Linked DNA regions of Lonchura striata. The protein of the gene in region 1 interacts with the protein of each later gene in a biochemical or structural test. Links are inferred from orthologs where the notes say so. Each region holds a gene or a part of one and is shown on either strand. Other genes may lie near its edges.

Region 1 (7,768 bases):
TTTGTGTAGATGGCCCACCTTCAGGACAGGTACCACTGGGAAAGAGCAGTGAACATGATTCCTGCACACCTCAGGCTCTGGGGAGCCTCAGCCTGGCACCACACTCATGGCCTTGCACTTCTACCACAGTGTCCTACAAGTCAGACATGTGGTGAAAGGCATTAAAATCCCTTTTATAGCATAGTCCAGTCCCGTGCTTTCTTCTGTAAGCTCTTTGCTTTCTTGTTAGTTATAAACTTTTCTTCCCCAGACAAGAAGAAAGAATCTGGAATGCTGATCTAGGAGAAATTGCAAAATGGGATTTCTGAAAAGATAATGAGTCAGAAGGCAACTCTGGAAAACCAAAAAGTAGCCAAAGGTCTGGCTAAACTGGACCTTGGGATATTTTCATTGGCATCTCTCCTGAAGTTCAGGCAAACTTTTCCATCACCTGAGCTTTGGGTTTTCCAGTTCCTTAGAAATTCTGATTGCAAAACTCTGAGGACACTGCAGTTGCTCTGACAACTTTAATGAGCTATTTCTTTTCCACAAATCCTGCTGAAGTCCATTAATAACTTGCTTTGTTTCCTAAACTGGGAGCTATAACCTGACAGCACATGGCCTAGAAAACACACAAGAAGAGGTTACATACACATACTGCAATAGTTTACTTGCAGACACACATCCCACTGCACCTAGTTGAACCAGCTTAGCTGGTAATCAGAGGATCAGCTGTTTTCTTAAGACCTTAATTGTCCTGATGCTTATTTATTTCTTCAGCCTAGCAACAGATTCCAATCTAAAACATGAAACCCCACCAGGAATAAATCCACCATCCTCCCATGGCTTGTGCTCACGACACTCTGTCTAACATACTCTTCTGAAACCATGAGGAAATCATCAGCCTCTGAAAAAAATTTGGAATTAGTGACAGTAGGAATTGCTACAGTGTGTTTTTGGAGGGATGATTACTCTGTAAGCAAATTATCCAGGACACCATCAGAACTGTAATCTTGAAACTGCTGAGTGCTTCTGAATCATTTCAAAAATCATTTTCTGAAACAGAAAAATCCTTTGATAAACACAGCATGTTAATGCATGCTCATGTTTCTCTTACCATAGTCTGATCTACCTAGATATGTAGCTTACAGCTCAAAAGACATTATGATTCCCTTTTTACTATTATTATTGAAGTATATCCTCAAAAGAGGTATTTGCCTTCTCAGACTGTCTGCCATACAGTAACTATTAGTACAAAAGTAGACATTTAAAAAGTACATTTGGCATCTTACTCACAAAGTAGATGGTTTAAAATTTTAATATGGTGTGGTTCTAACCTGAAACAAACTCAGTAACTACAGAGGAGCCTTTTATGGCTCAGGAGAAATACCTCAATATGTGTACCAGATAAATACCCAATACAGAAATTATATGCAGCAGAGAAATTAATTTTTTTTCTACATGTACATAAAGGCAGTAGTGGGAGATACAACTCTGTTCATCTCCTGTAGCTAATCCAGAGGCAGCATCTCTCTACATAGGCAAAATATTTTACAGAGGATTAAGGTAAAAGGAAGGAGATCTAGATTATTGCTTCAGCTTTTCTGAAGAGTTGTAGATGGCCTTAGGTTCTCCTCTCAGCAGGGTTTTTTCTTCTTTCCCTGTGTTTTGTATTGCCTCTTTCTTTAATGTTTAACTTCTAGGAAGTCTACCCAGAAGTCACTAATTACTGTCAGAGGTAATCTCTTCAGAGTGTGGAGGGCTGAGGAATGTCTATGCAGCAAACACTAACAGCAGTTATCCTGTCAATCTGTCAATGTCAGAACACATCCCTCCAGATCCTTCAGAGCCTGTCTCCCTGATTTTGGGCTTATCTAGTCTGAGATAAGAAAACACATCATGCCATATCTTCAAATTCAGCAAGAGTGGTGGGGTGATGGGGTAATTTGGGCTGTACCAGAGCTCAGGAGTCATTTAGCCCAGCCTCAAATCTCAACTCAAAGCAGAGGCCAGCAGCAGAACGTCCCCACTGCAAGTACTGAGCACCACTGCACTCCCAGCCTGTAAAAGCAGCACCTCTCTAGCACACTAAGAACAGGATGATGGCAAAGAGCTTAAAGACAAATACAAAGAGATAAGAAGAATTTTGCCCCAAATATAGTCTCAATACAATAAGGCTTCTACTCTAACAAAGTGTGACCAGAATTTATTTTGCCTTGCCAATCTGAAAGAGGGCAGCTCAGACAGTATCTCTGATGTCATGTGCTAATGAAAGGGAATGTTTTCACTGACTGCTCAGAAACCCAATCTGTTGGTTCACCCAATACCCATAAATAAAATATTCTATTATGTATTATGTTTCCTAATTGAACATAACTTGCTTAACTGCTCACACACTGAAGTAGTACCAGCAAAGCAATTTACCAGCAAAAATGCAAACAAAGGTGAGAAACAATGCTTCACTGCAGGTCTGCATGGTTTCTGTTGCTTTGCCAATTTCTTTTCCGAAATGTATTTAAAAGATGACCTCAACCTACGCTCCCTGCCAGCAAGGATAAGAAACAAAATACAGTGAGATTTTCAAACTTCACAGACCTCACAGTCTATTCAAAGATTCCTCATCCATTTCTGATCCGATATTCATTAGGACAGACAGAGAACAGAGCATTCATTAGTTTTCAATGAGGCTTATGAGTGCAACTGGAATGTTCCAGGACACATTTGGCTTTAAACTGCTTTACCACAGTACCCTTCTAAATGAAAGCTGCTAAGCTGTCATAAATTACATTAAAATTCTTATGAAAATGATGTGGTTCTCATGCCTTAAGATTTACATCAGTCTTTGACCTAACATGGAACACAGAGATAACTGCAGAATTTGCAACACGATCCATAATATTTGTACTTGCTTAATTAAGGAGACCTAAGAGTAACTTGGCACGTGTAGTGAAGGCTTCCTTGGCCTTTGTTCTCTTACAGTGTCACAAGGCCAGATGCAATTATAAACTGTCATCACAAACAAAGCAGAAGAGTCATTCCCCACAACCAAGTACCAGGCTCTGGAAAAACTGGATCATATTTTCAGAACTGCTGTTTATTAAGGCAACACTTTAAATGACCATGGATTTTTGCTGATGGGGAAAAGCTAAAAGAACCATGTGTCATTTCAAAGCTGAACCATTAGGGGAAAGTTGTTCACTGTAACTCAAGTCAGGTTGGATTCGTTCCTGAGAGGATGAGTGGAGATAAGTACAAAGCCACTTGCTGACAAAGACAGCTCCAGTCACACACAAGTTCCCGTAATCCTCATTCTCTCCTGAGCCTCAAGTGTTCTTTCCCATGGCTGATTCACCCAGCCCTTCTAACCCATCACACCGCTGCTGTGTTGGGCTCCCAGTGGAAGGACATGGGCAGCAAAATCCCCTGCAAATGCTTTCTCCCTGAGCCCCTCAGCCCTCTCCTTGAAATCCCTGCCTTTATGAAAGACTATTCACATCATGGATGATGGGGTGCAGTTAGCAAAATAGTTTGATATTAGCATAAATCTAACTGCCAATATTAACTATTTACAACCAATTATCAAATAGTGAACACCAAACACCTGCATGCTAGCAGCCCTATTTGTTAACAGGTCATACCTGGAAAATATTCATTCAGCACTGATTGGGATGCCCTGGAAATCTTTATGATGACATACAGGTCAGAGGAACGTTCATAGCTGGACTTGTGTTCAGTAGAAACAGTAGACCCTTGGCTGGCCAGAACACAGTTTGCAATCATGCAGAATTGCCAGCCTCCCATCTTGAAAAATCATGAGTCAAATCCCTAGATTAGGGAAATTCAGCTAAAATAATATTCCACTAGTAACAGCACCTCAAAGCCAGCAATATTCTAAATGACACAATAAACAACTGTCCATGACAATGGCCATATTTACACCAAAATTTCAGATTAAGGCAGTTGTGCCAGGTGCTCAAACCCCCATTACAAGCAAACGCTGAATTTTGTACAGTTTCCCTGACATCCTTTATTGAAGTTCATATCTCTTGCTGAATCTGCCTAATTTATCTTTTATCCTGTGGGGGTAAGGTGATATCTGCTGGTGGCAAAGCCCAAAGCTGGTTCTGAACCCAGCAAGGCACAATGATGTTACTGAGAGCTCTGCACATTGTGCAGAGAGCAGGGAGGGAGCCCCAAGTACAGACCCACACTCTGCGTAGCCTCAGCAGGAGGGGGACAAAGTGCTCAGCTGCACTGCCCTGTGCAGGGTCTGCCTCAAAATCCATAATCAAAATATTTGCTGCAAGGCACTGTGTGGGAGCATATTCACATATGACTTAAGGATATCATTATATCTGTGCCATAAAAATAGGCTAAAAAATAGAAAAAAATGCTTAGACAGGAAAATAATGTTTAGTAATTTCTTTCTCTTTTTCTTTTTTTTTAATTTAAAATATAAATTTTAAATTTATATTTTAAATATATACCAAAGTGAGATACCTTGTCTTCAAGATTGTCAGGTTTTGTTTTTTCCTCTTCTACGGCATAAATAAACGCTTTTGTAAATGCAAATGAGGAGAAAATGTGGCCTCTTGCAGCAATAGTAACTATCTGCCTGTTGCTACCTTAAAATCACAGCAATCACATCTGGTAACTGCCCTTTTCTCATGTTTCCACTAGTTTTCAGACTTCCTCTTGTGGTAGCTTGAGACTGCGCATCTGGATGTTTTAAACATACAAAGGAACTGCTGGAGCAAGCAAAAGGGAAAGCGGTGCTGGGAGTAAAGATGTGCAGATAAGCAACTGGTGCACTTTGCAGCTAAAGTAACGGAGAGGCAGCGGGGAAAAGCTTTTTGCAAAGAGGAGAGCACAAGTTTAGGCAGAATGAAGACTCACATTGGCCATGGCTTCGTTTTTAAAGTACTATTCATCCAAGTTTATCTTTTTAACAAAACTTTAGCCGCACCATCACCAATCATAAAGTTTCCTGGAGACAGCACTCCCAAAACAGACAAAGAGCTAGCAGTGGTAAGTGTTGGTTTCATCTTTGCTTTGGATCTATATTGTTGTTTCATAAGCAGATGTTTCTTTCTTGATTCAGCTGAGGCTAAGGAATGACTGTAGCATTCTTTCCCTGGAGTCTCTGGAAGTGCTAGCTAGCTAGCAAACGTATCAGCTTTCAAAAGTTAAAACTGGAGCCAAGTAATGTTTCCTCTCTTAAAATTTTTAAAGCCAGCAAAGAAAGTCGGTTTTTTGTTGTTTTTCTTTTTTTCCCTTAAGTCTCAAGATACAAAATATCCTCATGAAATCATCATGACTATAATAAAAAATTGCAATGGTAAGAGGGGAGAAGGGCAAATAAGAGACATCTAATTTTTTTACTTAAATCCAGTAGAAGTGAGGGCAGTTGAGACTCCCTCAATGTATGTATCATAGCTTTCAAGAGTGTGTTTTCCAGATTGTTTACTGTGCATTGCATAAACAGTACTTTAAGGGACACTACAACTGAAAGCTGGCTCAAATTTCAGATGCCATTGTGACTAGTTTTGACTTTGGAAAACAATCTCACCGAGGTTTAAAGAATTTTTTCCCAAATCTGATCTGGAACAAAAAAAAAAAAAAAGGAGTTTGTGTTTCTGTATATTAGCAAATTATAGCTCTAACTCTACAGCATTTTATTCTAACTTTTTTTTAACCCTGTGGACATTCATAAAAGTGACATTATGGGGAAGTCCATTTCTAGGGAGATTGAGATGGATTGTCCTTATTTTAGCATGCAAATTATAGACTAATTATTTCTCTTCTTCAGCAGCAAATCCATTTTAAGGAGGATTGAGAGAAATTATTCTTATTTTAGGACATAGAGACTTGAAAGTTGGTCACTTTTCTTTAGGAGTTTGTGTGCATCTTGGGAAAGTTTGCCAGGTTAAAGGAGGTCTGGGGGAGAGTACAGAGAGAATTTCCAGTTGGGAGCTGTGTCGGAAAGTTTAGGAAAAACAGACAAACTGACCCAAATAGGGCATTCCTCAGCCGTTAACAAAACAAATTCACCCAAGGTTTGGCCTTAGCAGCACAGTAGCCAAGAGCTGGGGGCAGGGGCAGTGCATTTGGGAGAGGAGAGTGGGGTCCCACGTGTCTAACAGCAATTTATCCACTCTAAGAGAATCTATTTTCTTAGACACAGCCAGAATTTTATTCAATAACTGCAATCTATATCTCCCCTCAACTCTATTTCTTTCAAACAACCTATTTATTATGTGTACTCAGAGGAAAATTGCAAGCTGGTTTAACACTGCAGTCCTTCTTTGTCTTTCTTGGGGTATTCTTGGGCAATGCTAACTGGCTGCCTTTCCTCACGCCCTCCATCAGAGCAGCCCCAACACTCAGCATCAGAACACAAATTGCTATGTTGCAGCTGGACCCTGTTTCATTAATGGGCTGGATCAAAATTCCAAATCACCACAACTCCCTGCTGACTCTGGGGAAACTGCCTAGGCCAAGATGTGGTTTTCATAGACATTACATTTTCTTCAAGATTCTCTCATAGAACAGCTGATCATGGTCATTTCTCATCTTCAGTAAAATCTCCATTTTAGGAAAAAACTGAAAGGGGTTAGCTTTTTATTTAGAACCCTAGCAAGTAAAATTCTTCATCATGCCTCAGTTTATAGTTTCAATTGTATAGCTTGCTCCCAAACCTAAAATGGCAAGAGCAGCAGCCTGGTTCTTCAGTAAATGTCAGTTCTTACGTGCAGTCTGTATTACACCATGGTATGTCACTGAGGGATGCAAGCAAAGGTGTAAGAAAACCCATCAAATTACATGAAATGAAAACTAAGAACCAAACTGGCTTTTTTTGATTATGTTCTCAATGCATTTCACATAATTTCCACCAGGCCCCATTAACTATGTGTGGAGAGCAGCTCAGTGGAAGCAAAGATGAAGTCACTGTGTGTCCTTCATTTGCCAGTGCCACAGTCCCCACTGGAGAAATACCACATCAGAGATTACAAAAATCACAAAAAGTAGCCATAGTCTGTGCTCAATCATGATGGATGGAGGACCTTCTGAAGGAAATGGTGTAACATCTTGATGAAATCCTTTTCTGAGTAATCCCTGAACCATTTCCTATACTGGGCAGATGAGGTTAGCCTGGACTTTGTGAGGAAGGTGGTGAAAGCTAGGCTTGACCAATTGCAGTTATCAAATATCCTCTGCGTTATTTTGCTGGTGTTGTGGTTTTATGCCCAGTCTCCTGGGTAAACTTAAGCAATTAATTATACACATGAAAAAAGGTTTCTCTTGGGAATACTTGGTGGCGCAAGAACTTAAATGTGCGGTCATTTTGTCAGGCTTCTTGTAATCCTCAATTTGAAATAGTTCTCCCTGATATTCATCGTCTATTTTTTGGTAAATATACCTTACCTTATTCAGCTGTTTTCCTCCCTTGGACTTGTAGTTAATATCTGGGATACCATACCTGAAGGATGTTTCTTCCTCAGCTGCAGACTGTTTTTACTGGAAAGATCAGTACCTTGCAGCCATCCTGTCTCACAGCACCATTGGCAAGGGCACCTCTCAGCTCTGTGCAGTGCCAAGGGCCCCTTTGGGTGCAGTTTGGGAATACCTGCTATTTCACATGGCTTCTCTTTCACAGAAGGGCATAAAACAGCGTAAACCCATCCTTAAGAGAAGGGGAGGAGACTTTAGTGGGTATTATTTGAGATTAAAACAATGGGATTTGTACCATCTCTTGGGTCCCTTATGACCACTCTTTTTTAATGAGAAA
Region 2 (7,666 bases), on another chromosome or scaffold:
GACCTTCAAAATGATGCACATCCATATTCTGTGTCCGTAGCTCTGCTACATTTCATACTGCACACTCTGACTATTTCAGAAAAATCCTTTTTGGATGCTTTTTATCTACATTTAGGATGCCATCTTCATTCCAGCCATGTAACAGCCACACACTCTCATTTAGCTCCCTCTCCTTTGCCTTTTATTCCTTGTCCCTCCAAGAGCAAGAACATCTAAGAGCAGCTGGACTGAAGTGTCAGACACTAAAGAGACAGCTGGAAAGGAGTGCTCAAAAATTACTCTTTGTATTTTAGGTAATTAAATGAAAGGGCTAAATTGAGCCTTTGAAATATAAGAGAAAAAAAGAGCTTCATGAGTCTTGATAACTTTTTAGTAGCTTACATCTTTTCCTGTCAATATAGTTTTTGAAGTCTCATTTCAAGGTTTTTGTAGCAAAGCTGACTGTAATTATAAACTTGTGAGATAGGAAATAAACTTCTCTGATTTCTGGAGAGGAAGGCTGCTTAGAAGAGGTGGAGATCACATTTCTATTCACAGAGCTCTGGCGTAGCCTGTCAAAAATCTGAAGTGAACTGGAGGTACAACTGAAGAACAGATTCTTCCTCAATGCGCCTATATCTATTTACCTATTTATCTATTTATATATTTAAAACAAGAATGCACAGAAGGATTGATATATAACATATTTTCTTGTTATATGTTCAGCAGTATCCTATTTTTTTAAATTTATTCTTAATTATCTTAATTTCTTGAATTCTTGCTCTTATGCCCAGTATCTTAAATATCTTCCTAAATAATTATTTTTCACTATGCAGTTGCTGGTACTTAACATATAGTGGACGAAAATACCTCATTTTTTCATCAGATTTTTTACCTTCTATTTTACCTCCTGCTTCTTAGGATTATAAAGTTTATTTGAGGAGTAAACTCCAGCTTGCTTTCCTTTTTGAAGGAGTAGTAAAATTGGTTATTTTAGCTGAGTAGCTGCTTGTCTTCTAACACTTGGACTGTGAAAAGTAGCTTGAGGATAAACTCACCATTTAAGTACAGTAACATTATATAAAATATTAAATACCATAATACAGAATGACTTATTTAATAATAACTTGTAACAATGAGAGTAATTCTTCACTCAACAGTTTCCTCTCAGTTATTGCCTTAGAAATAACTCAGAGTCTAAAAAGGACACTACTTTTAGGGAATATATTAATTTCAGTCTATCAATATGTTAATTATCTATTAATATATTTTAATTATAATATATTTTATATTAATATAAGTATTAAGATATTATTTTAGTCTATTATAATATTAATATATTATCTATTAATATATTTATTTTCATTAATTTCAAGGATTTGGTTTATCCAGATGCCATCCATATCTGTGCCTTGGAATGGGCCCTGCAGTGACTGCTCAGTTTTTTGTGCCTTCTCTCCCTTCATATTTCATTGTTTTTGCCACTGTGGTGGAGTAAAATCAGTCTCATGGCAGGGAATTTCCTCAGAGTAAGGAAAATGCACCCGTAACAAAAGTAGATCCCCATGATCAGAAAAATCCCCAACACAGAAAGTGATGTTTATTTAATTAGTATTAATTAGTATTAATTAATGTAGAAGGAAATCACCCAGGTTTGGGAAGGATGCTGTTAATGCCCATCTTTCTACCCTTACTGCATATAAACCTTTCTATATTGTTCAAACCCTGACACTTCTCTCCTGACTGAATAAACACAAACATATCAAGTAATAAACTAAATATGTGCTTTGTTTTACCCAGTTAAAATGATCTCCTACTGATTTACAAATGGCTGGGAGAGGTTCATTACTATTCAGGAGAGAAGGAGTAAATATATTCTTAACACATTTCAGGTGAGTGCCCAAAGGCTGGGCATTGTCCTATACCTCAAATTCCAGTTCAGTCACCTGAGACAACCTCCAGCTGCAAAGTGAGGGCAGAAAATGACATTTTATCAAAGTTGAGTCCACAGAGAAGCTACATCCTCCTCCTGAAATATTAAAGTCTGTATTTTTAGTGCAGAACGAATCCGAGGCATTTGGAATTACTGGCACTGAAACGTGAAATCCGTGCCTATGTATTCCATAGATGCAAATTCCTCATAAGGAAGCAATAACAGCTAAAATGACATTATTACTGAACAACCAGAGGCTGTTCTCACTCACACAGAGAGGCCAAGCCAGCCCTGGAATGCTCAAAACCATGTCCTGAAAAGAAGTGCAGAGTCGGAGGAATCCTGAGCCCCCTGAGCCACCAGAGAGGAGAGGGAGATGCCCAGGAATGCTGCAGCAGGAAGTGCTTGTGGTTAAAAACAGGAGCAACCACATGAATCCGAGGTTTAAGGAGACAGCCAGACGACACTGATGGCAAAAAAATATCAATGCACAGAAAATAAAAATAAAAAGGAACCCAAGAAGAATTAAAAGGTGCCAAAAGATCTCTGTGTGTTTGGTTTCTGGAGAATAAAAGGGTAGAACCCAAATAGCTCAAAGTTTAGACAATTAAGCTTTCTTACTGTTAAAAAAATTCTCAATTTGTCCTCCTTTGCCATCTGGAAGTTTTCTCTTAAACAAACAAATGAAACACACACACAACAAAAATACTTCTCATTTTCATCTACACACCCACTAAAAAAAAGAGATCTCTGTATGACAAACCCCAGGACGTTTCACTTTCAGCCTTGCACAACTCCATGGAGATCTCTGGAGCTATCAGGCATTATCTGTAACCTTCCCCTCATGTGCTAACAAGTAGAATTTCATAAAAATATAGAAATGCACAATGTTTCAACATTGAACACGTGGGGAAAGCAGTTTTAATTATCCCACACTGAGTAGGCAGGAAAGATTTCCTGCACATAAAGCATGTTATGGTACTGGGAAAATAATGTTGTTTTCTCAGCCCTTTCCTTCAGAACTGAACAGACTCTTTAATGAGAAATCCTTTTTTTTTTTTTTTTTTTTTTTTTTTAGGGAGTAATGATGCAAAGGAGAGCATCTTAAAACAAAGCAACACCATCCTAATTTGTCCCTGCCAGCAGGGTTGAGCACACCCAACCCACAGCACTTTTCCCCTGGAAGGAGATCAGAGCACTGCAGACACACAGATAATTTGTGGGGTTGTTCACATCTGCACATTATTAAAGAGATGCTGCCACTTTCCATGTGAAATGAGGAATTTGCTGTTTGTACTTAAAAGAACTCTTTCCTCCCAACCAGTCCAAAATGCTCCTCGGGAAGGGTTTGATGGCTCAGGAGGAGGGAGCATCCTGCTGGAGCTTGGAAGCTGCAGCCATCTGCAGCTTTAATAATAATTAACATGTTGATTTTGACAATAATTTAACATGTTGATTATTCCATCCAGTTTGCTCAGCTAATTAGTGAGGAAATGGGAATTGTCCAGGGTTAGGTGGGACTGACCTGCACCTGGCTGTGTTTCAGGCTGGGTTTCCTATTCCTTTGCCTTAACCATAATGTTAAATATGATAAAAATGAGGCAAATCTAGTAAAAAATTGGAGTTTTGTGGGGGGAATGTGTAATTTTGATGTCACAAAACTTTGCTCTGCTCTGGCTTTGCCAGTGCCTCTCCCCAAGCACAGGCTGCTCTAACCCAGGAGCTGCAGCAGTGTCCATCCAGAACAGAGTAAAAGTGGGGCTCTCACTAATTTAGGGGGATAAAATCCCCAGAGGAATTTTGGCCATGCTCCATATTCTTAGAACCACTTTAGAACCACAATAAAACAATGAATATTACTATGTCTCTGCTTTTTTATTGTCTTTAGCTTTGCTTGTAAAGGGAAACATATGCAATTTTAAGGTGGTTTTAATTATTATTATACATCTAATCCAGAAAATAAGAAATGGAATAGAAAAGAAATTACTTTTGTTCTTCTGATGGTGCTTCCTGGTCAATAACTAAACTGAAAAGCAAAGAGGAAATGGGTATGTTCTGATAGTTGTGCCAAACAAAATTCTGCTCAGCTGAAATCCAGGCTGTGTTCTGATACTTTTATCTTGGTGGCACCAAGCAATTCAGTCTAATTTTATTTTTTCCAAAGATTCCTGGTGTATTTAAAACATCACACACAAGAGAGATGCCTCAAACAAGGAGAGGGGAAAAGAATCCATTTCTTCTTTCATAAAATCTCCTACTCTCCTTGATTAAAGAACAGGAAATAAATTAAGTAATTCCAAACAGGGAGTAATTGATTTCTACAGGTTAACACAACTAATGGGTGCTCTATTAAACTCCAGAAAAATGAATACAAGATTATTGTTCTAATTTCATGCATGAAATCAATGCTTTCATCTTGCCTGGCACAGGCTTTTAGGGGCTAATTTCGAGACTATTTATTTGATCAACAATTCTGTAATCAACAGACATGTCCCTTTCCTCTGCTCACTGATTTAATGATGGGTATTTTGTCAAATTTTACGGGATTCAAGTCTTCCAGAGATTTTTGATGGACATTTTTTGTCAAAACTGAGTGGTAACATCAATCAGGTTTCCACATTCTTGGGACTCCAGATTTACATCACAGACATCCCACTTACTTTTGTTTTCAGGAGCTCAGCTGGTGTTCTTATGGTAAAATCTTTAAAATCTACTTGTACCTGAAGTGTCAAAACAATGCCAAAATCTATCAGTATAATTTCCATTTTTGCTTGTAAAATTGTCATCTGCGCATGTGCATTTAAATCTCTCTCTCTCTCTCTCTCTCTCTCTCTTCCAGTGATCCGAGCAAAAATATCCAGTGAAAAGGTTGTTCCTGCCAGTGATGATCCCCTTGATACCCACAAAATGATCCGGTATGAAATCAAACAAATAAAGGTACATGGAACCACTCAGCTTTTTTGAAGTTCAATGCTGATAACCTCTGCATATTTCAGCCCAAAATAATTTACCACAAAATGCAGGGAAAGCTGGAGAAGTCTCCAGCTGCCCTCACAGTTAGACCCACATGAAAAAAAAAAAATCACAGGAGGCATTAAAAAAAGGGAAATAAAAAAAGAAAAGGAAAGTTTTAATTAATCCTTAAATATTAAGGATATATTCAAATGTTTCCTTACAGGAATAAGTACATCAATGCCAGAGAATTCCCTTTCCTCCCACTGGCACTTCAATGTTCTGCTGCTACTTTGCAGCACTTCAGGAACTTGAGAGATATTCGGGAGGTTTTTGCTAAATAATGATATTCAGGAGGTAGGGGGTTTTTTATATTCAGGAGGTTTTTGTTAAATCATGATATTTTGATGAAGAATTTTGCTAAATAATGATATTCAGGAGATTTTTTTTTTTTTTTTATATTCAGGAGGTTTTTGCTAAATAATTATATTAAGAGGGTGGTTTTTTGATATTCTGGAGGTTTTTGCTAAGCCATGATATTTTGGTGAAGAATTTTGCTAAATAATGATATTCGGTAGATTTATTTTATATTCAGGAAGTTTTTGCTAAATAATTATATTCAGAGGGAGGTTTTTTGATATTCAGGAAGTTTTTGCTAAATCATGATATTTTGATGAATAATTTTGCTAAATAATGATATTCAGGAGATTTTTTTTTTTTTATATTCAGGAGGTTTTTGCTAAATAATTATATTCAGAGGGTGGTTTTTTGATATTCAGGACTTATTTTTTTGCTAAGTCATGACATTTTGATGAAGAAGTTTGTTATTTTTGATTTTGAAGGCACCAAAAATGTGCTTCATTCTGTGAGTGGTGTCAACACATCTGGTTTTGGAGGATTCCTGATCACCTGTGCTCTGCTGGTGTGGCAGCTCTGCATGATGCAAGCTTTCCAAAGGCAGGGGAGCATTCCCAGCTGAGGGAGCAAGCCCTTTGTTCATTGTGGACAGGGATATTTGCAGGGCCAGGAGTCCTTCCCTCATATTCACACAAACAAAAATCCGTTTGTATGAACATTGCTGGGGAAGCAAGCACCCAAAGCCACAGCTTCAGAATCTCACTGGGTTCTCCCACTCTTGTTCAGCTCCAATAAGGAGATATATTCATTAATTCAAATTGAGAAGACATGTCTTGAGCCAATTGAAGTCACCATCAAACTCTCACTGCTGTTCAAATGATCATGGTGATGAACATTTAAATGATCATTTACTTTTTTTCTGGAACACACAAGAAGTAGGTAATCTTTCTAAATGAAAATGTGTGAGTGTGCACAGGTGAGGTGGGCTGCTTTTCAAGGTAGTTTCATCTCTCCTCTTTCACTGCATATTATTTTATAAATTTTGCGCTTTTCCATTTACTGGGACCACTTAAGAAGGTTGTTAGGTATGGCTATGTGCTTTCAAAAAAAAATATTCAATCATTCAAGTTGTATCCACTGATAGAATTCCCTCACAGGAGTTTAAGTAGGAGGAATCTTTGGTAAACAAGAATATTTCAAAGTATTCACAGGGATGGTTAACACATGGGACTTCTGGTAAGGTTTTATAGTAATTTCAACCAGCCAGTCTCTTCCTTGCTAAAACAAACCCCAAAGCTGTCAGCATATGCCACTTTCCATCTTCTTAAATATTAAGGATATATTCAAATGTTTCCTTACAAAAACAAGTACATCAATGCCAGAGAATTCCCTTTCCTCCCACTGGCACTTCAATGTTCTGCTGCTACTCTGCAGCACATCAGGAGCTTGAGAGAAAAGCAAATCTTCTACCTCAGCACAAACAAGGAGCAATCTAATCTGAGTGATGATTTTCAGCCTATAATCCCATTCTTCAGCAATCTGAATTCTCTGAAATATTTGCGTATTGAAGCTGCTTTGGAGTTTCTCCCTAATTTTCAGCAGTGGAGGCCTGTTCAAAACTCAGGCAGAAGGAAGAGGTGTTTATTTAATTCCAAGTCAGCCAGGCCTGGACAAAGCAGAGATGTGTTTTTTCAGAAAGATGCTCTACATCACACACAAGTTTAGACTAACAACAGAAGGGTTTTGGTAACCCCCACTCCTCAAATCCTTCCTCCTGACCAGAGAGAATTCAGGACCAAACTTTCCCCTGCCCCAGCACCCAGCTCCCTGCGCCAGGGAGGGAGGGATTTTGGGAAGGGAAGGATTTTGGCTGGAAACCAGGAGCTCTGTGACCTGCCCACCCTCTGTGCACCCAGGGTGGCACCAAAATAAACCCAGCAAGGCAAACCGCACAGGAGTGACAGGGAGGGATAGCCAAACATCCAAAGAATGTGACTGAGGTGAAAATGGAAGCTGCTGCACAGTTCCTCAGCTTGCTGAGCAGCTGGCTCAGAGCAGCAGCTGGAGCACACCACGCCTCACCTCAGGTGCCAGCATTTTAAAGAATTTCATCCACAGTGTGTGTGGAAGGTGAGGATATCCTGTGCTCAGCTTCCAATCTTCTTTCAAGTGCTGCTGCTGCTTTTCCTGCCGCCTGCAGCCCCCAAAAGGATCCTGCAGGGTGATCAGGGTGGGAGCATGCCCAGCTGGGGGACAGGCAGAGAATTTGCTTTATAGAGCACAGCAAGGAAGAACTGATCCTCCAAATATCTCTTTTGGAAAATATCCTCGGTTTTTTTGTAAAATACATCAAGAATTAGCACCAAAAATTCACAAAAATTATCACCTCGGTGTGAGTTTTGGGGTAGACCACTCAGATACTCACACTTTCCTCATCAATTCTCC

The links.
Region 2: the proteins of MMP2 (region 1) and TIMP4 form a complex in vitro, tested with the Homo sapiens proteins (2 studies listed by BioGRID). The link is inferred for Lonchura striata from reciprocal best matches to the Homo sapiens genes MMP2 and TIMP4.

The regions. Positions count from the first base shown.
Region 1 is NC_134615.1:14,215,897-14,223,664, forward strand, and holds the start of MMP2 (72 kDa type IV collagenase), read left to right. Parts: upstream 1-4,700; 5' UTR 4,701-4,863; coding exon 4,864-5,007; intron 5,008-7,768.
Region 2 is NC_134614.1:4,977,134-4,984,799, forward strand, and holds the start of TIMP4 (metalloproteinase inhibitor 4), read left to right. Parts: upstream 1-4,596; 5' UTR 4,597-4,648; coding exon 4,649-4,849; intron 4,850-7,666. UniProt on the Homo sapiens protein: Complexes with metalloproteinases (such as collagenases) and irreversibly inactivates them by binding to their catalytic zinc cofactor. Known to act on MMP-1, MMP-2, MMP-3, MMP-7 and MMP-9.